Linked DNA regions of Kluyveromyces lactis. The main gene of each other region encodes a partner of the protein of the gene in region 3 in a complex. Links are inferred from orthologs where the notes say so. Each region holds a gene or a part of one and is shown on either strand. Other genes may lie near its edges.

The links. Proteins that work in one complex are often made in the same cells at the same time.
Region 1: the proteins of COX1 (region 3) and COX8 are in contact, whole or in part, in a cryo-EM structure (PDB 6T0B), measured with the Saccharomyces cerevisiae proteins. The link is inferred for Kluyveromyces lactis from reciprocal best matches to the Saccharomyces cerevisiae genes COX1 and COX8. Residues at the interface, in NP_009305.1 of Saccharomyces cerevisiae: Met1, Gln3, Arg4, Trp5, Val16, Leu17, Met20, Ile23, Phe24, Met27, Ala28, Ala31, Met32, Leu34, Ile35, Leu48, His49, Asn51, Leu54, Leu58, Thr117, Leu118, Val119, Glu120, Ser121, Gly122, Leu401, Gly402, Leu403, Phe466; in NP_013499.1 of Saccharomyces cerevisiae: Val28, His29, Phe30, Lys31, Asp32, Gly33, Val34, Tyr35, Glu36, Asn37, Ile38, Pro39, Phe40, Val42, Lys43, Tyr49, Ala50, His53, Phe54, Phe56, Phe57, Ile59, Gly60, Phe61, Val63, Pro64, Phe65, Ala67, Cys68, Val70.
Region 2: the proteins of COX1 (region 3) and COX6 are in contact, whole or in part, in a cryo-EM structure (PDB 8DH6), measured with the Saccharomyces cerevisiae proteins. The link is inferred for Kluyveromyces lactis from reciprocal best matches to the Saccharomyces cerevisiae genes COX1 and COX6. Residues at the interface, in NP_009305.1 of Saccharomyces cerevisiae: Asp496, Phe497, Val498, Glu499, Ser500, Ile503, Leu506, Asn507; in NP_011918.1 of Saccharomyces cerevisiae: Leu66, Phe67, Gln70, Leu73, Asn74, Arg106, Glu109, Ala110, Tyr113.

What each region holds. Positions count from the first base shown.
Region 1 is NC_006038.1:298,583-305,449, forward strand, and holds COX8 (cytochrome c oxidase subunit VIII), read left to right. Parts: upstream 1-2,007; coding exon 2,008-2,229; downstream 2,230-6,867. Other genes in the region: COX9 (cytochrome c oxidase subunit VIIa), read right to left, coding at 795-977; SUMO ligase CST9, read right to left, coding at 2,954-3,898; isocitrate dehydrogenase (NADP(+)) IDP1, read left to right, coding at 4,862-6,151; DPM1 (dolichyl-phosphate beta-D-mannosyltransferase), read left to right, coding at 6,741-6,867. UniProt on the Saccharomyces cerevisiae protein: Component of the cytochrome c oxidase, the last enzyme in the mitochondrial electron transport chain which drives oxidative phosphorylation.
Region 2 is NC_006042.1:2,031,983-2,039,290, reverse strand, and holds COX6 (cytochrome c oxidase subunit VI), read left to right. Parts: upstream 1-2,226; coding exon 2,227-2,670; downstream 2,671-7,308. Other genes in the region: TMA22 (Tma22p), read right to left, coding at 1-175; ELF1 (Elf1p), read right to left, coding at 3,608-4,123; CIC1 (Cic1p), read left to right, coding at 5,026-6,156; KLLA0_F21824g (transcription activator GCR1-like domain-containing protein), read left to right, coding at 6,742-7,308. UniProt on the Saccharomyces cerevisiae protein: Component of the cytochrome c oxidase, the last enzyme in the mitochondrial electron transport chain which drives oxidative phosphorylation.
Region 3 is NC_006077.1:27,364-38,675, forward strand, and holds COX1 (cytochrome c oxidase subunit 1), read right to left. Parts: upstream 6,371-11,312; coding exon 5,662-6,370; intron 4,122-5,661; coding exon 3,860-4,121; exon of another isoform or gene 3,859-3,859; intron 2,399-3,858; coding exon 2,263-2,398; exon of another isoform or gene 2,262-2,262; intron 2,260-2,261; coding exon of another isoform or gene 1,069-2,259; intron 625-1,068; coding exon 127-624; downstream 1-126. Other genes in the region: COX2 (cytochrome c oxidase subunit 2), read right to left, coding at 7,573-8,343; VAR1 (ribosomal small subunit protein), read right to left, coding at 9,276-10,442; COX3 (cytochrome c oxidase subunit 3), read left to right, coding at 11,176-11,312. UniProt on the Saccharomyces cerevisiae protein: Component of the cytochrome c oxidase, the last enzyme in the mitochondrial electron transport chain which drives oxidative phosphorylation.

The DNA.
Region 1 (6,867 bases), on a different chromosome or scaffold from region 3:
TTTTTCTCTTAAAATTAATAACTTATTATAAGTATTGTGTTTGTAAATTGATAAATATTTCATATTGCATTAAATCTTTCCATTATGAATATAAAAAATGAAACAGGATGAGACTGACAAATATAGAGCCTCTCCAAACGTAATAAACCGTTATAAAGATCCATCTATGAACTATTGGAAAGATTTGAGTGGTAATTCATTTATTTTTTTTAGTAATAGTAGTAATGTTTTTTGTTTATTTTTTGAACGTCTTTTATCATATAGCGTAAGGTTCTATCGAATCTCTTAGGAATTACTTCCAGCGATAAGGTAACAAACCAGAGAGTATTCCTATTTGCAAAATAAGATTGTTTAACAGAGACAATCACCTTCTTTGGAAATCGACAAAAGGTCACATGAAATCCTTAAGTCTTTGTTTAGTAACTCCTCCAAGAAAAAACAAACAGTCGAGATGCGGTATTGCTTCCACTCATGAATAATAATACTGATAGGAGAAGAAGTCATAATATGAGAACGTATTAGCATGATAAAAGGGTACCGAATAAAAAAAAATACCATTAATGATTTTTAACCAATAATTCATCAGAATGACTGTTAATCTGTGTATGTGTTGACATAAATAGAGAAATAAAAGGTTGTGGGATGTTATAGTAACGATAGGTAATTGGGAGGAAAAAAAGGATCGAATACAATTCTCCGTATTATGGACACAGAGGTTTCAAACCTCATGGCCGCACACGAATATGTTGATTTAGATAGAAAAACACAAAGTATTGCGTTTTTTTATTCAGTCCTTAGTTTTCAGCAGCCTTTTGTTCAGCCAACTTAGCGTAGTAAGCTTCTCTCTTGTTGATGATGTTCTTGTGGAAACCCCACCACCAATAGGAAGCCATAGCACCACCAATAGCGAAACCGATGGTGATATCGGCCAAGATTCTCTTTCTAATAGTACCAGTGATTGGAGCAATTGCAGACATTATTCTTTGATGTGAAGTGAGAGTGATTGATGTGAGATGAACAAACCGTTAAGGATAGCAACAGCTAATGAAAAAGGCTAAAGTCAACACTAAGAGGGGACAGAGGAAAGATATACAAAGTACTAATCAAATATCAAAATTTCAAGAAGTAAAAGAAAATCAGAAAAACCATACGACTAAAGTAAAGAACCGAAGACAGTTAGAAAAAAAATTAACCAAAACCTGTAATGGATAGTAGAGCCAGGTAAGTTTATTTCAATTTTTTTTAATTTTTAAAGTTTCTCGATTTTTCAAGCTGTCACCAAGAGGGAATTGACATTCAGAACTCCAGTAATACCGAGTCATACTGTAGTGTGGATTTTCAAGACAATATCTGATTGAGACTCTCAGTAGGTTCCGGTAGAACCTACTATCGGTTGCCCATCAATATAGCCAAGAGAGAGGTATCGCTTTTCTTCCTCTAATACTGACAGCACCGGATTGGCAAAGAGGGAAGATTTCCCGTCAGAGAAACTCTGGGGCAGCCATTGATCGCAGGTCATGTGCCTCTTATCATCTTAGTGTAGTTAGTACAAGTAGACAAGAAAGGATCTCGCGTTAAAACCGAAATTCCCATTAGCCAATGATATCCCAGGATTCGACGTGAGTGTGTCTGTATTCAGAAAAATATGTACACGGGGAAATCACGTTCCACGAAGACACAGCAGAGCTTTGCTTTAAGAGTGAAAGTCGGAAATCTTACACCATTACCCGGATACTCCGTTTGTGTCTCACTACTTTCTGAGCCGTTTTCCCACTTCTGTCAATTTTTTTTGTTATTGCACGACTTTTTCCTAATCCTGTTTCTCTTCTTAGCAGCGATAGAAAGGTAAAAAAAATATATCGTATTATTTTTTTTTTCATATTTCAATACAATTAGCACTGCAATTTACAACTCTTGTTAAGGATGGTTTATAGTTTATTGTTGATATTAATAACTTTGTTTCGATAACCTAGCGTCCAATACCACAGCAAATATTCCAATCAAAACATGTTTTCCCAAGTTACCAGACTAGCCACCAGAAGAGCCTTCTCTGCCACTTCCAAGCAATGTGGTGCCCACTTCAAGGAAGGTGTTTACTCGAACATCCCAGTTAAGATTCACAACAGAAAGATCCCATACGCTTTCATCCACTTCGGTTTCTTTGCTCTAGGTTTTGCTGTTCCATTCATCTCTTCTTACGTGCAATTGAAGAAGTTTGGTGCTTTCTAAATGAGTGGATAGAAATAAATTTCCTGCCCTCTTTGTTATATCGTATCCTTTCACAATAATTTTCGTTTTATTTTCATGTCATCATTGCTACACATTCCATCCATCTGCAAATGTCCGCACTATTGCAGCCAGCCGGCGAACATATTCTATTCTATTACTTGATGAATAATGAATAGTCAGTCCGAGGTTTAAAGAAAATACCAAGCACATCACAATAACCAAAACCAGACAGCAAAATAGAATATTACTCAACTCTTCATTTCACATTTATTTATCTCTCGAGAGTGATGTATACCTGCACTCGTCGAAATCAAAAACTAAAGCAACGGTTCGAAGCAATCTGAAGCTAAAGTTGAAATTAGTGACTTCATCGACACTTTGACGAGACTCATGCAAACAAAAAATCACAAACAGATAACAAAGGAATTAACATTATCATACTCCTGGACCGTTCGTGAGATCTAATAATAATCTTAAAAGAAAAATAGCACAAGAGATAAGTGGATTTGGAATCAAGTTTCACCGGGAGTCTTCAATCGTTTCCCTCATTTTTTTCTATCTTCCGACTATCAGCTCAAAGAAATACTATATTATCAACATGAAATACTGTCAGAAACATCATTTATTTTTATCAATATGTTTAAATTTAAACGTATAGGTCTTTAATTAACAGAAATTCAAAAAACGTCAAAATCAGCTTATTTATCAACTGACAAATATTTAATCATTTCTTAAATTTATTGTTTCTCGATTGTGCCGTGGTGTTATTCCTCGACGGGAATCCCGTTGTAGTTTGAGAAGAGTTAATCCTCATATGTGATAATATTCCCCTTGATGATATCGTTGAAGTGCTACTTCTTTTCAATTTCAATCTTTCCAATGCATTCGGTAATGCTTTCGTGACTCCTTGTCGTGAGTTTGATCTGGCGCCGAACGTGTTATTAATGTTAGAACCGCTTTTATTGTTCATTGAAATTGGTGTTGTTGGGGAATGCGGTACCAATATTGGTGCCGTTCTTCCAATTGACGTAGATTCAGCAAGAACGTGTGAAATATTTGGAGATTCGTTTCCATCATCTGAAGTTGTCCGTGAAGGTTTCAATCGGTGAGAGTTTTGTAGTTTACTGATGAACGACTCTTGATTATCACGCTCAATCCCATCCTTTGCGTTTATTAAATTTCTGGAGTCATTTCTAGTAACCATCGATATGACGTCTCTGTTGGTGTCCTTCATTCTTAATTCCTTCTTCAAAGCAGTAAACTTGTCTAATTCTTCCTTTGCCTGGTACAACAGCTGTCGTTGTCTGTTACACTTTTCCTGTAACTTCAGACACATATCTTGATAGTATTCACATAATTGCACCATTGACTCCCACTGGAAATTAGCTACTGTGTATAATGGTTCCAGTTGTGATACAAAGGGTTTAAAGAACGATTGCACTTCTGTCGGTAGTTTGGAACTATCACCATCTAACGGAAGTACTGATATTCTACTCGTCGTGCACACGGGACAAACCGTCATTCCATTATGGTAATGCTTATCACAAAGGATATGAGCACATGATGTGAGCCAGAACTTTCCATTGCTTGTTCCTTGCTGGTTGTTATACGGTTTATGGCATTGGGAACAGTTTACCCATATCTGATTCAAATCAACTGGCGGAGACATTAGACTCAAATGGGAAGAGAGGTTGTACTACTAACTTAGTTTTGGAAGTATTTAACTGAGGGTTTGGTCAGTTTCAAGAAATGATACAAACAATGGCTGTATTGTAAGAAATATACAATTAGCCGCCGAAATCAATTTCCCAAACCCAACGAGAAAAAATGTCACCCGGAAACAGAAGAAATACATCACAAACCACGTGACACTAAGGAAGTCACGTGGTGTACGGATTAATTCCCGCTATCATCTCCAGTATTGCTGACATGATCATTGGGTATATAGGAGGGAAGACGCACGCTACAAATCCAAAGCCAATGCCAAAACCAGTCCCTGACTCATGGCCGGCTCAGGCCCTGCCTTCGCGTCCTACCAAACACCCAATTCATATCACCGATTAACCACCACTACTGGAAAAGTACGAAGCTTTCGCTGTCTATCCTGAATCCCGAGTTGATCCGGTTTTTTTCTCGTCTCACAAAGCCTAACCGTCGCATTGGTAACGAAGTTCCCCACGACAAATTAGCAAAAGCGCCCCAAAACAGAGCCCAAAACGGCGACTTACTAGCAAATAAACAAATTTCGGGCAGTTTACTACCCCCAAAATTATTGCATCAATCGTGGCTCTGAAATATTACAAACCCGCTACTTCCATGTTCGGTAACCTTCTCATTGCAACTACAAAAGTACTGCGATTGCCATTGCCCTAAGTAAGTTATATGAATGACTCTTCTATCATTTCTATTATAGCTATTCGCTTTATTTTTCTATCACTGCTTTGAGAAGGATATTTTGGCTTTTAACTGTGATTAGTGATGAGGTTAAGTCTATTATATATATATGCATGTATATTTGCGTCTCTGCGCTATAAAGTTTCTGTATCCTTATAACTTTAGGTCAGGTTAAGGTTGGTATATTCGACGGTTGTTGTATACTGAGCTAAATTGAATTAGGACAGGACAGGACACTATGAAGGCCGCAGTGATGAGTATTAATCGTCAGTTTTCCAGCTCTGCTGCAACTGGGTTGCGCAAGATTAAAGTTCAGACTCCCGTTGTGGAGTTGGACGGTGATGAGATGACTAGAATTATCTGGGATAAGATTAAGAGTAAACTTATCTTACCATATTTGGATGTGGATTTGAAGTATTACGATCTTTCCGTGACGAACCGTGATGCCACTAACGATCAAGTTACTGTGGATTCTGCTAATGCCATCAAGAAATACGGTGTTGGTGTGAAATGTGCCACTATTACACCGGACGAGGGTCGTGTTAAAGAGTTCAATTTGAAAAAGATGTGGAAATCACCAAATGGTACCATCAGAAACATCCTTGGTGGTACTGTTTTCCGTGAACCAATTGTCATTCCTAGAATCCCAAGATTAGTGCCTGGATGGGAAAAACCTATTGTCATCGGTAGACATGCCCATGGTGATCAATATAAGGCCACCGATCTTGTCGTTCCAGGTCCTGGTAAGTTGGAATTGGTTTACAAGCCAACTGATGGATCCGAGACCAAGACTTTGGAAGTTTACGACTACAAGGGTCCTGGTATCGCTTTGGCCATGTACAACACAGACGAATCCATCCGTGGATTCGCTCATGCCTCTTTCAAATTGGCTATCACCAAGAAATTGAACCTTTATCTTTCCACCAAGAACACTATCTTGAAGAAATACGATGGTAGATTCAAGGATATCTTCCAGGAAATTTACGATTCCGAGTATAAATCCGAATTTGAAAAGTTGGGTATCTGGTACGAACACCGTTTAATTGACGATATGGTTGCCCAAATGATCAAATCTAAGGGTGGATTCATCCTTGCGTTTAAGAACTATGATGGTGATGTCCAATCCGATATCGTTGCTCAAGGGTTCGGGTCCCTTGGTTTGATGACCTCTGTTCTAGTGACCCCAGACGGTAAGGCCTTCGAAAGTGAAGCTGCTCACGGTACCGTCACTAGACACTACAGACAATACCAACAGGGTAAAGAAACCTCAACAAACTCCATCGCTTCCATCTTCGCTTGGACTAGAGGTTTGGCCAAGAGAGGTGAACTAGACAACACTCCAGAAGTCGTCGAATTTGCCAACTTGTTGGAAAAATCCACTTTGAACACTGTCCAAGAAGACGGTATCATGACCAAAGATTTGGCCCTTGCCTGTGGTAACACTGACAGATCAAGTTATGTGAACACCGACGAATTCTTGGATGCTGTTGAAAAGAGATTCAGAAATGACGTTAAATCTCTGCAGTGAAAATGCTTTCAAGAACAGGAGAGTACGTCGATGAATAAGATTACACACATATATGGGCTCTTTTCTTAATAGTAATATTTCTATATAAAACATATAAACGCACAAATAACTACACTAATCCCTCTCTATCCCAAATACCTATTAGAAGTTTCCTTGCAGACTACGGTAGCATAATCCTAAATTGTCGTTCGTTCTATGAATAATAGCTTCTCTTGTCGCTGTCCTAGTAATTTCATTACCCTGCCTCTGTCACATGTACCAGGCTCACACACCTCATTTTTCACCCGATGTTGTCTGTCCTTCCTCAAGTCCAAAAATCGAAAGTGGACAACATGTTCAATATTTTAACAGTTACAAAAGAGAAACATATAAAGAAACATGCCTGACAATTCTTGTAGTTAATACTTGAAGTATTGTTTTTGTTTAGTTGTATTAGAGTACCCAGTCGAGCTTTGTTAGCAAATCACACGCTGTTATATTTTCTTTGGGGAAACAGGAACCTTTTGACTGCTATTATCTATAACTAATAAAGACCGGATATATTTATACCAATTGCTCAAGAAATAAACATAAGATTATACTATAAGAAATGTCTATTGAAAACTCTGTTGTTGTTCCAGCGTACCACGAAAAGCTAAATATCAAGCCATTGACCACCAGGTTATTCCAAGCCTTGGGTAAAGAAGGTTCCAATATCACTGAATTGATCTTCGTCG
Region 2 (7,308 bases), on a different chromosome or scaffold from region 3:
ATGATTCTGCCAATTGTTTAGACACATCTTCAGTGACATCGCCATACCATTTGGTGTACAATTCTGGGTGGTTTTCTTGTAACCAAGCTTTACAACGTTTGAATTTACCGGAAAATTCACAGTATTCAGCAGGAAAGTCACACACACCACAGTATATAACGTTAGTGAGAGGCATTCTGTATATTCTTCTGTCTCTTTAATTAATTCTAACGTATAAATCTCAAACTGAATCAAGCGTAACTTAATTACACGTAATGTTATTCTGAACACACCTCATCTCATGCATTAGTGATTTTCTGTTTCAATATTTTTTTCAATATTTCACTGTAAAGATCGATTCACTTTCTTCAGTAACTACGTAATCTACTACTTACATATACTAAGTGTTTACTTAGACATGCACAAATAGCGGCGAACTTTGGTTACACTCACACTGAATACACTTCTTTGGAATGGCAACGTATGATGATTTTGCTACTGATACTGTAATAATAACGTCAAAGACAAAGGACGTGTGCTCCAAGCCCTTGTTTGATGAGATCGTAAATAAGGTGCAAGAATGTGTGGTGGATACTCGACAGATTTACGGTGCGGATGCCGTGCGTGTCATTACACTTCCTGGATTCAAGAGAATATTGGTAACATCGCCTAATATTGAGGCGAGCCGTGAAGTGAAATCCTTGAACCCATTATTCCCTGATTGTAAATTTGGGTTCTCCATCACGAATCACGTGGCTGAATCGAATTCACAAGCTGGATTTCCACACGCTGGCGCTGACACTGTGATGAATCACCTTAAAGTTCCCCCTGCCCAGACATTATTTCTAGTGTCTCCGCCAGCGTCACCTCCTCCGGGATTTGATTACTCTAGGCTTGAAGAATGGCCTAATCGTAACACGGGACATGAAGAGGCTGGTGCAGGTATCGACGATGATTCAAAACCTGCTGTTCGAAAAGTGTTTGACAATGGACATACCCGAATAATAGTTGAGGGGTCTACAAACTCTGAACCAAACCATACGGCTTTGATGCAACATATCAAGACCGCGATGCCACCTATCTCAACGTTTGACGATATAGAGGATTAACTATCGCGTTTAGAGACATAATAACCCGCAGTTTTCTGCGGAGATGAGGGATCGAACAGGGGAACCTGCCTACCGAGAAAAAAAAAACCTTTGAAACCACGCGACTTCCGGGTAATTGTATTTGTATTGAAGTCACGTTCTCCCGCTGTCCTATTACCCGACTATGTGGTAAAAATCATCGGTGACGAACCAATCATATGCCAATACGTTCTCCTTCCCCACAAACAAGACACCCTACAGAACGGTCGGACCAGTCTCAATCAATGCCCATTACCCCCCAGCATATTTCACGAATGTGTTTTATTGGATTCTATAGATACTGCTTGTGGGGTTTATTATCACGGACTTATTATCTTGTTTTATAGGACATTATTTCGAAGATTATGAGAGTTAAGGTTTCATTTCCTTTGAACATGAGATCTTTAATCTGACATCGCTCGACTGAAAAATGACAGGCAGCAGAAAGTCAAGAAATACTCAATTCAAATAATTAAAATCGAACTAGATAAACGACTTGCTCGTAAGTACCACATGTAGGATTTTTTGGAGTGTGAACTTTTGTTGCAACTCTGCCGATGAATTATGTTAGCCCTCTTTTTTTCTTCCATCCATTTTCCATAGACACACTATTTAAAAAACTGATAATACCACTTTTTTGTAAACTACTAAGAAGATGATGCATACAAAGAATAAGATACAATAAAAGTTGTTTCGAATGGAACGACTCACTCGAGGTTCAAATTTGTGCTATTCGTTTCGCAAGTTATTACTCTTACTTTCCTTTTAACAATCTCGTTTTTATCTAGTTCAAAGACGTAGCTATCCACTAGTTTAAGTATTTGAACTGTTTGTTGATATTTGTCCTATGCGATTTTAAGTATTTAATTTTTTTTTTTTCATTCTTCATTACTTCAAATTTTTAAAAAAACTCCAGAGAAAATTATCGGTCGATTTACCTTTTACCTAACCTATTTGATATATCTTTAAAGCGTTTTACATTAAGTTTTAATTACAATAGAACTCGACTTTGAATCTTTTGTGAATACGGTTTGTTATAATTCCTTTTAGAATAGCTATTTGATCATCTTAATACAGTGAATCAAATCCAAATCCCGAATCAACCAATACAAAGAAAAATATGTTGTCCAGAACTTTGTTGAGAGCTGCTATGCCAGTAAGAGCCGTTGCTCCGGTTATGATGAGAGCTGCTGTTGCCCCAAGAGTTGGTCAATTACAATCTCAATTTGTTTCTATCAGAAAGTACTCCGATGCACACGAAGAAGAAACCTTTGAAGAATTCACCGCCAGATACGAAAAGGAATTCGAAGAGGCTTACGATTTATTCGAAGTCCAAAGAGTGTTGAATAACTGTTTCTCTTACGATTTGGTTCCAGCCCCAGCTGTTATCGAAAAGGCCTTGAGAGCCGCCAGAAAGGTTAACGACTTGCCAACTGCTGTCAGAGTGTTCGAAGCCTTGAGATACAAAGTTGAAAACGAAGATCAATACAAGGCTTACTTGGATGAATTGAAGGATGTTAGAGAAGAATTGGGAATTCCTTTGAAGGAGGAATTGTTCCAATAAGTGCATATAGAAGAACATTTAATCTAAAGTCACCGGCTTTATCATCTTCTCCCATACTATTTTCACTTTTTGAGAACCTTTCACTAGGAAGGAAAGAACAATACTTATCCACAACACCAACAACCAAATGAAACCAAAATAAATATCATCAAAAACTATATTTACGAACGTGTCCCATCCTATGACACCATATATTCTTGTCACACATTTGTTTGTTTGAGGAGGTTTTTTTGGTGCTGACTACTGGTAGTAGCAGATACGAAGACATTATTTATTTGCCAGGACATATACAGAACCGTGAATACAAACCTTCAAGAAACATTTACAAACAATTCAAATAAAATCAAGATTATTATTATTATTATTATTATCATCATCATCACAATTATTATAATTATATATATGTTATACTGACTAAATTATAAGGAAAAGTAGTTATATATCAAACAAACAGCTATTAACATACGCGTTTAGTCTATTTAGCGGTAGACAGAAAAATGTGCTCTTTTGTTTTCACTTGATCGTATGTTAGGTTATTGCACCGTTACGAGCAGAAGTAATTTTATCTTGTTTGAATTCATACAACTGAAGTTTTCGAGTTTTGTTATCTCGTGTATCACCATCTAGTTCAGAAATAATGCCACATTACTGAGAAGTTCGATATACCAAAGATACTATTATTGATGTAGAATTGATATATAAATTCTTCTGCAGTACAAACTGAATACTATCAACCGATGGTTAAAGCCAAGGTGAGCGTTATATAAATTCTTATAGGAAACAGATAAGATCCAGCAATCTCTTTGAACGTAAATATCAGCTCCTTTATACCTGATTTTATTCGTTCTACTAGTATATCTCTGGGTAATATATAGATAGATAGATACAATTGTAAGATTAATATTGGTGTTCGATGTCTGTGTTTCTGTCGGTTCGACTACTCGTCATCACTGTCCATCCATGCTGCTCTTCCTCTTTTGTTAGATATTTTACCGTCATCGTCTGAGTCTGATTCTGGTTCTGAGTCTTTTCGTTCGGTCGCTCCTTTTCTTCCGTAATCCGCATCTTCGTCTTCTTCTTGTTCTTCTTCTTCTTCTTCGTCAGAATCTATTCCAACAGCTTTTCTACGGTTTGAAGAAGGCTCAGTATCAGAGTCACTCTCGTAGTCACTGTCACTGTTTTCATCTTCAGATTCGCTATGTTTCCCTTCGTTAACTTCCTCAACCGCATCAAACCAGTCACTATATACATCTACCGGTTGTGATAGACCATTAATGCGGGTTTGGAACGATTGTCCACAAATCTTACAATGAAGCGAGCCAATGTTATTCTTTTTGTCCATTGTTACGCTCACAGAGCGTTCGTGATTACAGAAGAGACAATTGAATGCCGTATCTAACCTCTGTACTATCTTCTTGGCTGGACCTCTGGATGACTTCTTTCTCTTACCCATGTCTAATGCTCTTCTTATTTGTCTTGTGAGAGCGTATGCTTACCCCTGCGGCTAGATTTGATTAATATATGCTAATATGCCTTTTGCAGTATAAATGAACGGGGACGATGACTATGTTTACGATATAATAATAATAATAATAATAATAGCAACTTAATAACTCATAAATCAGATTCGTGCGGCGTATTCTCTGTTAAGGTATCCTTTATATCGATCGTGAGTCCTGTTTGACAGCCGAAAAAACCTAACTCAAAAATAGTACTGTTCCGAAATAAACCAGAGAAAGAAACCCTAAAATACACAGTTTAAGCCCTTTTGTATTGTAACCCCATTCACTGAACGTAGCCCGTTGCTCATTAGTAACTTTTGCACAAACACGCACCGAGATTCAATATCAGATTCGGTTACTCTTTATTTCTTAAGTGTCAAATGTTATCAAATTTCAAGAAAAGTTTCAAATCATATATTACGGCCTTCGCTTTCAAAAAGCAATATTTACTAACTACGTGAACACAGTGGAGCTCCTGCGAAACAGAAAATTTTTATTTTTGACAATAGAGAGCTCATCTCATCATAGCTCATCTCATCTCATCTCGAAGTATGTTGCACACCTAACACGATTAATAAAGTAATGGTATGTAAAGTATTTAAGTACCTATTCTTATTTCTCAGCTCAAAGGATTGATTAGATATATACTGGATATTTCATAGTTGCCAGTACGAACTCGAGAAGTAAGCTTACCTAGGTGAACCAACAATTTGTTGATCTTTTTCTGAGACAGTGCGAATCAAGTAAGTTAAAAAACGCTTGGAAAGAATCCAGAATATAGAGGAAATAACTCCACTCATCCAGTCTAGTATATCTACAAGCACATTATAAGCAATATCAAAGTTTAGATAATATGGCAACTAAAACTAAGAAAAGCAAGGTTTCGACCAAAGCCACCAAGGCTACTAAGGGCAGTAAAGAGGAAGAAGTCATTCCAGTTAACAGAGTTAACAATGCTGTTATTAAATTGCAAGAATATTTGAAGGAAAATGGATCAAATGACAATCAGTTAATTGATGATTCTGAATTGGAGGCTCAGCTACAGTTGATCCTAGTCAACACTGAATCTTTTACTGGTTCTTTGAAAAACTTCAAACCAAAACTAATTACAGTTCCTCATTCTATCTTCAAGCCATGGAAGGAAGCTAGCACCACCATGGTTAAAGATTTCAAGACTCTTTTGATTCTAAAAGATTCTGATATCAATTCAGTGACATCAGAAGACTTGATCGATCTACTTCCAGAACATATTACTATTGATGCCATCATATCTGGTAAAGATTTGAAGACAAAATACAAGGCTTTTGAAAAGAGGCGTGCATTTGTACAGGATTTTTCTTTCATTCTAGCTGATGACTCGATAGTGACAGCTTTGCCCAAGCTATTAGGTGGTAAAGCATACAGTAAGTTGAATACCACTCCAATTGCCATTAACACAAGATCGGATAACAAGTTTAACAAGACAACTTTGGTAAATAGCATCAAGAGAATTTATGATACTAAAATCCCAGTCAAACTTCCAAGAGGTAACACGATGAATGTTCATCTAGGTTCATTGGAATGGTTCACCCCAGAACAATTGACTGAAAATATCATTTCTGTCGCTAAACAGTTCATCGAAAAGTACAATATCAGAACCATTCTTCTCAAATCTAACGAATCACCAGTCCTTCCATTATACGTTAATTTGGAAGTATTAGACAAATTGGTTGGGTCCAGACATGATGCTAAGACTTCCGTTCAAAATGTCATAGAAATTGATGGTGTCGAATTGCAACTATCACAATTTGAGAAATCTTTGTTAGAAATTGCAAATCCAGACGAACTAGACTCCTTGTTTGCTACGCAAATTAAGCAAGCCAAAAGAAACTTGGAAGAGGTCGAGGCAGAAGAAGAGCAAGAAGAACAAAAGAAAGAGCAAACGAAAGAACAAAAATCCAGCGCTAAAAGACAAAAGACAAAGAATAAAAACGTAAAAAATTAGAGGTACAGGAGTATCGCGTTTTTTTTCATTCCTCTTTCTTAATTTCTATCCTTCACAAATATCGTCTTAAAACTTACCCATTTAGCATAGATTTAACGGCTGTCACCGCTCCTACAATGATAGTTTTCCCTACAAAATGTATTTAATCTGTACTCAAATTTTCCAGATAGCATCGATACTTTGCAATTCATAAAAGAATAACAGTAGTTAAATTCAGTGCGTTTTCGAACCAGCAGGAAAACGTTATTCCTAGTATTGTTTGGATGGTGCAAACCCATCGCCGCTCGAACAACTTTTCTGATGTGCCACATTTAGGTTTGCTGGTTTTTCTGTGTGGACTGGTGCGTCCATGCAGTCAGTGAAGGAAAAGGAAAAACGAAAAATAAAAGTGTCACAAAAAGATTTAATTACTATATTAAACATATGTCAAATATTATATAAACCACAGATTTCACAAACTTTCACATCATCACCTCTGTTATTCGTGCTTATTCGTAGTTTAGTATATACACTATTATTTACATCTGAATCAATTAGTATTTTCAAGTTTTGATTGCATTGCGAAGACGCCGAGAATCAAATGAGATGCCACAGAATATTGAACGAATAATTCATACATTCCAAAGCAGAGTAGACACTTTACAAACTGATTGGAACGTTTTATGCGACGCAGTGTGTAATAGCAAGTGTCAAAGTGTCAATGGTCAAATTGCCCTGTTAAAATCTAAGTTAGATTTAATACAACAACAGCATACTGGGATTATTGTTGATTTAGGAATCATTAAAACACATCTTTTAGCTCATGATTTGGATATGAATAACCAGTTTTTAACCGAGGAACAAGAAGTGGATTTTGACGTAAATAAAGAGAATGAAGATCCTCTACCTCTACTTGGAATTGATGAGACTGAAGCTGACATTTCGGAAGGGCCAAAAGTTTTCAAAGAAGAATTTAAAAATGAAATTCTTTTCAGTAGTCTCAGCAGAGAAGCGGAGAACGCATCGCGAGAAATGCCATCAAGGTACAAGGTAGCGAAATCACAACACTCGAGCAAAATCAGACCTCTCGGCGCAAAAGATCTGAACAATGTTGAGAACTATCACCTTATAATGACAGATTGTCCCAAAAGCGTCCATGACCTTTACCACGAG
Region 3 (11,312 bases):
TTCTATGTATTATAAGGGTGTACTATTAAGAATAATCTTTCACCCCGCGGCTACGACATATATCGTAGCCGCGGGGGGGGGGTCATATTTATAAAAAGAATATTAAAAAAGATAATAATATAATTATTATGATTGTACAGCTGGAGTATTAAATGTATGAACAGCTGGTGGAGAAGTTAATAAGAATTCAATTGATGAAGATTTAATTTTATTAGTTGCGAAGATTTGATTTGATTCAACAAAATCAGGTCCTTTATTATAAATTACTGATTTATTATTAACTTTATTTTCTAATCCATTAACTAATTGATCATATAAAATATAGATAAATAAGAATAATGAGAATACAGCAATAATTGAACCAATTGAAGCTACATAATTTCAACCTGCAAAAGCATCAGGATAATCAGGAATTCTTCTAGGCATACCATTTACTCCTAAGAAATGCATAGGTAAGAAAATAACATTAGCTCCTACAAAAATTAATCAGAATTGAATTTGTGCTAATTTTTCATTATAATATAATCCTAAAATTTGAGGACTTCAGTAATAATATCCTGCAAATAATGAGAAAATAGCACCCATTGATAATACATAATGGAAATGTCCTACTACATAATAAGTCTTCCCCGGACGGCTCGTCCGACCATACGGTCGGACGATGCCGTCCGGGGTTTATATTCTTTATTTACATAAAGGATTGGACTATGTCTTAATAATATATAACCAATATATGTATCCCGCGAATTCCACTTTAAGGGAAATTCGCGGGAAATATAATACATATTATATATATTATATATATATTGATAATTATATATTATTATTCACGTATAGTCTCTACAGTTCCCATTATTATATAAAATATAATAATGGTTACCACGAAATTGTCTTATATAATTGTAGTATATAAATTACATTAAATTTATTTATATAAGATTTCTTCGTTAGCTATATTTATTAAAAAAAAATATAACCCTTAATATATCATTCCCCCCCCAACACCTTATAGGTGTTGGGGGGGGGGGTATAAAGATAATTAAGATAGTGAATTTACTACATGACACTTTAAATATTTATTTTTTTTCATTTAATATATTCAATATATTTATAACCTTGTAAATTATATTTATTAAAAAATTTAATAAATATATTAATATAATATTTATTATATACCTCTAAAATATATATATTATTTTTATATATTAATTTATTCTTAATATTAAAATAATTTTTTAAGAATTCTATTAAATGTTTATCATTTATATAAAATAAAAATGAATTATTATTATTCTTTCTAATAATAAATTTACCTTTATTTTCAATAAAACCTAAAAATCATACATTAATATAATTATGATTATAATTATTATTAATATTAATATTAATATTAATTCCCGCGAACTTTTTATGGAAGTTCGCGGGGGAAAAATAATTAATTTTAGTATAATTTATATCTTTATAATATTTATATAAATTAGGATTATATTTATTATTTCTATCTTTTAAATATAAATTTATTGCTAAATTTCTATTATTTTTATAAATATAATATATAGATTTTATAAATGCTAATTGTAATTTTTTATTTATAGTTATTAATGGATATTTATTAAATAATTTAATTAAATTATTAATATTTTTTATATCATTTATAATTCATATTACATAATTATTATTAATATTAATATTACCTTTTAAATAATGTTTAATATTATTTAATATATTAATATTCTCTTTATTATTATTTAATTTAATAATTAATCTAAATTGTAAATATTTAGATTTATATTTATTAATTTGAATATTACCATTACTATCAAATAATCCTACAAATAACATTTTATAGAATTCTGACCCTGCGGTTCATCTTCCTTGTGGATATGAACCGCAGGGAATACTATTATTAATATAATTATTATTAATATTATTATTATTATTAATATTATTATTAATATTATAAATATTATTAGTATTATTAATATTATTAGTATTATTAATATTACTATCACTATTACTATTACTATTACTATTACTATTCCCCGCGGCTCTCATTCTACTTTCGTAGGATGATGAGTCCGCGGGGTTATTATTATTAGTATTATTAGTATTATTATTAATATTATATATTTTAATAGAGTATAAAATATTATTAATTTTATAAAATGTGGTAGGATTATATAAATTACAGTATTTCCCATTAGAGAAGGGATAAGTATAAATATATGAAATATATAATATAATAATTATAATATTTATTTTATCATGGAATGCTACATCTAATGATGCATTTGCTAATGCTACTCCTGTTAATCCACCAATTGTGAATAAGAATAAGAAAGCAATAGCATATAACATAGGTACAGCTAATCTAATTGATCCACCATAAATTGTTGCTCTTATTTTTAACCTTAAATCATCACAGATTCATTTATAATATTTATAATAAATATTATAATAGCTAGTTAAATTTATATATAATTATTTATTATTAATCCCAATATCCTCCAAATATTTGGAGGATATTGGGTAACTATATATATTAGGATAATATATATATAATACATATATATATTATTTGAAGGATTGCTTCAAAACTATTACTAGTTCCATTGGATCATTCCTTATGTATTCATATAATAGACCCGCAAAATATTTCCTGCAGGAAATATTTTGCGGGGAATATATTACTTAGAAATACCAGAAGCATCTGATCTCTACGCTTTTATATATATAATTTCTTATATATAATTTAGTTCGACGATTGCCCTATATAAATTCTAATTTATATATATAGGATTTCTCTCGAGTTTGCTTCTTAATATATAAATTATATATATATTATATAGATTATATATATTACCCCGCGGATTCATATTATGAATCCGCGGGATTATATTATTTATTATTATATTTATCATATTTTTGTAATAATTTATATTCAAATTTATATTTTATAGATGGAATAATATAATTTTTAATATTAGGATATAATAATTTAATAGATTTAACTTTAATATAAATAACATAATATGATTTATGTTTATGTAAAGTACAATCTAAATTAAATTTAATTTTTAAAATATTAATAAAATAAATTAATTCTTTAATAGTATATGATTGTAAATTTAATGTAATACCTCCACCTTTATTAAATGAACCATCTCCTATAATAATATGAGCTAATGATTCATAATTTAATAAATCATATAAATCATTTGGTATAATTTTTACTCTACCATTATAAAAATGATGTCTTAATTTAGTAAAACAAGGTAAAGCTATAGTAGTTATTTCAACTCCATAATAAATTTTACCTTTTAATCTTTCCCCGCGGACTCCTCCCCTGGGATTACCAGGGGAGGAGCCGCGGGGTGTTTTAATTAATTTTGGAGGACTTACACAATAATGATTTAATTTATTATATACATATAAAACATATTCTACTTGTTTTAAAGTTTGTTTAAATTTTAATCTACTATTAATTAATGTATTTTTTGAACTATATTCAATTCAACCATCTGTTAATAAAATTCCATTAATTATATATATAATATTATTTGGAATTTTAATTATATATTTAATTATTATAGTATTATTATATTCTTTATTTATTAAATTTGAATATAAATTAGTACCATAAATTGTTAATTTTTTATTATAATAATTATTATTATTATTATAAGAATTATAAGAATTATTATTATAAATCTTATTTATCCCCGCGGTCATGTTACCGATAACCGGTGACTGACCGCGGGGATTATTATTATTATTATTATTATTATGATTATTATTAATATATATATATTTTATATATTTTTTGATCAACTTAATACTCTTGCTAAAGGAGTTTATTAATCATGAGAAAATTTTAATACCTGTAGGAATTGCAATAATCATTGTAGCCGATGTGAAATAAGCTCTAGTATCTGCATCTAATCCTACAATATACATATGATGTGATCATACTAAGAAACCTAATAATCCAATTGAAGCCATAGCATATACCATTGATACTTCACCGAATACTGGTTTTTTAGAATAAGTTGATACGATATGTGAAATAATACCGAATCCAGGAATAATTAAAATATAAACTTCGGGGTGACCAAAGAATCCAAATCTAAATAATATATTATCTTTTCCCCAAATATTATTTTTGATAATAGCACGGGTAGACTCTATAATATATATCTCATATATAATATATGACCTTATTATTAATAAGTGATTCCGACTGTACATTAAGCAATATTATTATATCACCCATTGGTGAAGCAGTCTGTAGCGATCAGAATATATAATTATATATATTATAACCGACGGTCTAAATCTGAGAAATTGTTGACCGTACCACCAATGTTGCATTATATAATATATATATAATACTAGAAAATAGTATATTTATCTCTTCTCCCCATATCTTCTTATCAGCTTAGCTGGGAAGAAGATATGGGGGGGGTATTAAAAAAGGTAAATCCCTTGGATGGTGTCCGAATAAGAGAATAATAAATATTTAGTCTCTTAATTTATATATATATATTAAGAGAGATATAATCTTTTTATTTTTCATATCAACATTGTTATATCTTTTCTAATTAACTTAAGTTAAACTATTTCCTTTGTTTCAATATTTTTTATTTATACTAATAAAATATGATTATTTATTAATTAATTCCCTGCGCGACTCACCCAACCCTTTATGAGGGTCGGGTGATGTCGCGCAGGGTTTAGATATTTTTTTAATATATAATTTTTGTTCTTCATTTAAAGGTTTATTTTGTTTATAATAATTTATTACATGAATAAATTTATCTAAACTATTAGATTTATCAGATAATAAAGGATATTCTTTAAAATAATTTAAAATAAAAATACAATTATTTAATCCTGAAATTCATAATTGTCAATTATCATCTTTAGAATTAGAATAAACTTTACCAATATTTTTTTCACTATTAATGTTATATAATGAATTAGTATTAGATTTATCAATAAATAAATTTAAAATATGTTCTAATACATATTTATTAACAATATGTTTTTGACTTAATGCATATAAAAATCTAGGTGTATTTTTATTATCTTTTAAAGAAATATCAAAACAACCTTCAGCATCAGTAAATCCAGATAATCAATAATCATTTAAAGTAGGTAATTTACAATAATTTTTTAAAATAATTATAGGTTCATTATTTTTTAATAATTTTTCATTTAATTTAGCTAAAAAAATTATAAATTTACCATATCTAGTAGGTAATACTAAATTACCATTAAAAATTAATGATAATAAATAAATATCTCTTCTTTTATGTACTACTCATCTATATGTTATATCTTTTTTAGATTGTAAAATTACATCTCCTATATTAAAATTATTTTTAATATAATTTAAAATTTTTATATCTTTAGAAGTTACAACAACAGAAATATCACTTCTTTTTATTAAAATAAATGAACCTTTACCTTCAAAAAATCCTACAAATCATTCTAAAAATTTTTGATCAGGAACAGAATTTATAGGTTTAAATTCTTTATATTTTAAATTAAATTCATCAAAATAAAATTTATCTTGATTAAATTCTAAATTTTTAAATGAAGATAATCATAAATTAATATTATATTTATAATCATAAATTACTATATAAAATGGCATAGAAAACAAATGTTGGTATAAAACAGGGTCACCACCACCTGCTACTTCGAAGAATGAAGTATTGAAGTTTCTATCTAATAATAACATTGTAACACCTGCTGATAATACAGGTAATGATAATAATAATAAGAATGCTGTAATGAAAATAGATCATACAAATAATGGTAATCTATGCATTGTCATACCATTTGTTCTCATATTTAATGTTGTTACAATGAAATTAATAGCACCTAATAATGATGAAATAGATGTTAAATGTAAAGCAAAAATTGCTAAATCAACACTAGGTCCTGAATGTGCTTGAATTGATGATAATGGAGGATATACAGTTCATCCAGTACCTGCACCAGATTCTACTAATGTAGAAGTTACTAAACATACTAAAGCAGGTGGTAAACATCAGAATGAAATATTATTTAATCTTGCAAAAGACATATCTGATGCTCCAATTAATAAAGGTAACATATAGTTACCAAAACCACCAATTAATGCCGGCATTACTAAGAAGAAAATTATTAAGACCGCATGCCCAACTACTAAGACATTAAATAATTGATGATTTCCGCTTAAAACTTGATTACCTGGTGCGGCTAACTCTAATCTAATGATTAAAGACATGGCAGTACCTGCCATACCACAGAAAATAGCAAAGATAAAGTATAAAACAGCAATATCTTTAGCATTTGTAGAATATAATCATCTTTCGATCATTAATTTATTTTTATAATTATTATATTATATTTAAAATATATAATATAATAAACTATTATTATTAGTTATATTTACCCGCGGCTCCCCCCCTGAAGGGGGGGGGGAGCCGCGGGATTAGTATGTAATATACATTATGTTTTTTATTATTAATTAATTAATTAGTTATATATAATTATTATTATAATTATATAATTATAGATAAATTCTTGACCCCCGCGCTCCTTCCCATCCCTTTATGGGATGGGAAGGGAGCGCGGGGGATAAATAAGTTTTATCTTACTTATATATAATTTATATATATAAAAATATATAAATTTACCAATTTACTATGCAGATCGGTAAAAATATACATTTCCCCGCGGTTTCACCCCCCCCTTAAAGGGGTGGGGAGGAACCGCGGGGGTTATATTAATTAATTTAATAGATATTATGTGAATAGTCGGAATAATTATTCTATTAATATATAATAAGCCTCTTAAAGAAAAATATTATTCTAATTATATTAATAATAAAAAATAAATAAATATATTAGGTAGGGCTTATTTCCCACCATATGGTGGGAAATAAGCCCCCCTCATTAGTATTATTTTATATAATAAATAATAATATTATAAATAAATATAATATATAATTATATTAAAATATATATATGTATATTAATCCGCGCCTCATCCTTTATAATGGATGAGGCGCGGATAATACTTTTCCCGCGGACTCCTTTAAAGGAGTCCGCGGGGGTTTATTATTAATATTATAATATATAATAAATAAGAATTACCCCGCGGCTCATCACCCTACATTCGTAGGGTGAGAGACCGCGGGGGAAAAATATTATTATAATAATTAATTATTATAATAATGGTTATCCTAAATTTATTACTCCCTACTCCCCCCCTTCAATATCTGCGCACCAATCGTGTGCGACAGGAAGGGGGGGGAGTATAGCATGAGATCAATAAATTATTTTTATACTCTTATTTATATATAATTATTATTATATTTAAAAATATAATATAATATAATATAATATAATATAATAATTCCGCGGATTCATAACATGAATCCGCGGGATATAAAATAAGTAAGAATCCCCGTCTCCTTGTGGGTCGGGAAGGTGACCGTGGGGAAACCCCTAATAATATTGTAGGGTTTGCAGGGAAAGAATATTATTATATATAATTTATTAATTATAAATTATATAATTATTGTTCATTTAATCATTCTAAGAATGCTGGTAATGAAACTGCTTCAATTTTAATAGGCATAGCTGAATGTGATTGTCCACAAATTTCTGAACATTGTCCATAGAATACACCTTCTCTTTGAATTAAAGCTGATACTTGATTTAATCTACCAGGAGCTGCATCAATTTTAATACCTAAACTAGGTACAGCAAAATCATGAATAACATCAGCTGCTGTAACAACAAATCTAATATGTGTATCAACAGGTACTACTACTGAAGTATCAGTATCTAATAATCTTAATTGACCATCTTCTAATAAATCTTCAGGAATAACATATGATTCAAATTCTACTGTTTCACCATTATCATTAATGAAATCTGAGTATTCATATTTTCAATATCATTGTAAACCAATAGCTTTAATAGTCATTGCTGGAGAAATAACTTCATCACATAAATATAATAAAATGAATGAAGGGAAAGCAATAATTAATAAAATTACAGCAGGGAAAATTGTTCAAATAATTTCAATAGTTTGACCATGTTTAATATATTTATAAGCAATAGGATTTTTACTATAAGTTCTTACAATTGTAAATAATAATCATGATACTAATCCTAAAATAATAAATAAATAGAACATAATATTATCATGTAATTCTAAAATACCTTCTTGATTAGGTGTAGCTGAATCTTGGAAATACATACCATAAGGTGTAGGTACATCATTCATAATAATTGAATTTAATAAATAAAACATATTTATAATTTTTTTTAATCTATATATATTCTATATATTAGATATTACATTGATTAATATATTATTCTCCCGCGAACTCATCCAACTAATGTTTTGATGAGTTCGCAATTAGGAAAAAAACTTATTAATAATAAATTATTATAAATAATTATAATAATATTAAATAAGTATATTGATATATTATTATTAAATTTTTATATTTTAATTGATATATTTAATATATATTAGAGATACGAGATTTGAACTCATGTCCTTCGCGTGTAAAACGAATGCTCTGCCAATTAAGCTAATCTCTATTATTATTATTATAATAATATTATACTTACTTATATCTATATAATAATATTATATAATAATTATTATAAATTCCCCCAATTGCGTATTCCTCCCCACCCCCCTTAAAGGGGGTGGGGTTTATTAATTATATTAACTCCGGGGACTCTTCCCAGGTATACACCTTATGGGAAGGAGTCCCCGGGAGAAGAGTATATAAAATTATTTATACACCCCGCGGCTTATTCCCTGGAATTCCAGGGAATAAGTCCGCGGGAAAAGTATTATAAATAAATTAATAAATAAATAAATAAATAAATAAATAAATTATTAATACTAATAATAAGTATTATACCCCGCGGGAAAATGTATATTATATATTTATTTATATATAAAATTAATAATATAAAATTAATTTTTATTAGTATTTAGAGGTCCTTAAGGAAATAGTAAGGAGAACGCGGGAAAGATATATATTAATTTATTATATATTATAAAATATTTATATTTTTACCCCCCCCTTCATATAATATGAAGGGGGGATTATATGTATATATTAATTTATTATATATTATATAATTATATAATTATAATATAAAGAAAGAAGCCCCACGCGGCATTACCCTAGGGTAATGCCGCGTGGGGGAAGAATATTGATTATTTATTTATTATTATTAATTAATAAATTAAATAGTATTTAATTTAACTTTAATATTATATTTACCATTTTTATTAACATCAGAAATATTAGTAATATTATGGTTAACAGGGATATAATTTAATTTATAATTATTAACCATTTGATTACCTCAAATATATTTATAGTTTTGGAATGTACCATTTAAAATATTCATTGTATTAGATCTAGAAATAGATTTATTATTAGATAATCTACCTTTTAATTGAATTGATCATCCTACTAAATATTTAAACATTAAAATATTATTAGGGATAGTATTAATATTATTATTTTCATAAATAATATTATATAATTTCCCCGCGGCTCCTCCCCTGGGATTACCAGGAGAGGAGTCCGCGGGGTTATTATTATTATTATTATTAATTGATTTAATAATATTATTATATTTATTAAACATAATATTATTAATATTATTAATATATGTTTGACTAATTAATTTATCATTTAATTTAGGCATATTATTCATTAAATTTTTAATTCTATTCATTGATAAACTTCTTTTAGAAGATGAATTCATAATTTTTAATGATTTAGCTAAAATATCACTATTCATATAATTATATTTTAATTGAATAGGTTCAAATGATACATCTTTATTATAATATAATGATAAAATATTACTAATACTATTAATGTTATTATTTAATAAATTAATTAATTTACTATTAATATTAAATTTATAATTACTATAAATATTATTAATTAAATTATTGTTATTATTAATATTTTTATTAATATTTTTATATGATAAATAATAGAAAAATTTAATATTAACTTTATTAATACTATGTTCAAAGATAGGTTTAGAAATAATTAATTTATAAATTTTATTATTAATATTTAATACTAATAATTTTGTTAATAATTTAGTTACTAATCTATCATAAATAGTATTATTAATTTCTTCAGTTTTATTAAATTTATAAATTTGAGATGATCAAGAATTAATATTATTTAAATGTTGTAATTTTACACCTTTATTACTTAATTCATTTAAATAATCTCAAATATAAGTTTTATTTAAAGATCTATTTAATCTTTTATTATTTAATAATAATAATAATTCTTTTATAGAATTTAAATTGTTTATATTATTAATATTTTTAATAATATTTAAATTTGTTGTATGTTTATTCATTGTATTTATATTTATTTATATATATTGATCGTATAATATATATATATAAAACTATATATATATTATTATTAAATTATTAAAAAATTTAACATGTTTATTATATTTACTACTTATAAATATAAAATAAAATATTTATTATATATTTTATAAATTATGTATATTCCGCGATATCATCATATGATGATATCGCGGGAAAGAGATAAATTCCCGCGGATCCTCTACTGGTAATACCAGTAGAGGATCCGCGGGGTAAGATAATATATTCTATTTATAATTATTATTAAAGAGATAATCTATTTTATTTCCCCCCCCCCCAATCTCATATTATGAGATTGGGGGGAATCGATATATAAACCCCGGACGCCATCGTCCGACCGTAGGGTCGGACGAGGCGTCCGGGGAATTGTATTTATTTATATAGATCTATTATATATAATAATATAATTATTAATCGCCAAATACCCCTATTATAGGGGTATTTGGCGATACTAGATATATATTTAATATTACTAATAATATACTATATATAAATAGTTTTCATAATTAACTTTTCCCCATTGCGGACTCCTCCCTTCGGGGGGGGGGGAGTCCGCAATGGGGTTTATAAGTAAGTATAATATAATAATAATTATATTAAAATATAAATATTATCATATATATATATATTATATATATATATTAAGTAATATTATTTCTATAAATTAAATTAACATTTAAATTTATAAATGTATAGATTATAAAAATATTTATGACACATTTAGAAAGAAGTAGACATCAACAATTTCCCTTTCATTTAGTAGCTCCATCACCATGACCAATTGTAGTATCATTTGCATTAATGTCATTAGCATTATCATTAGCTTTAACTATGCATGGATATATTGG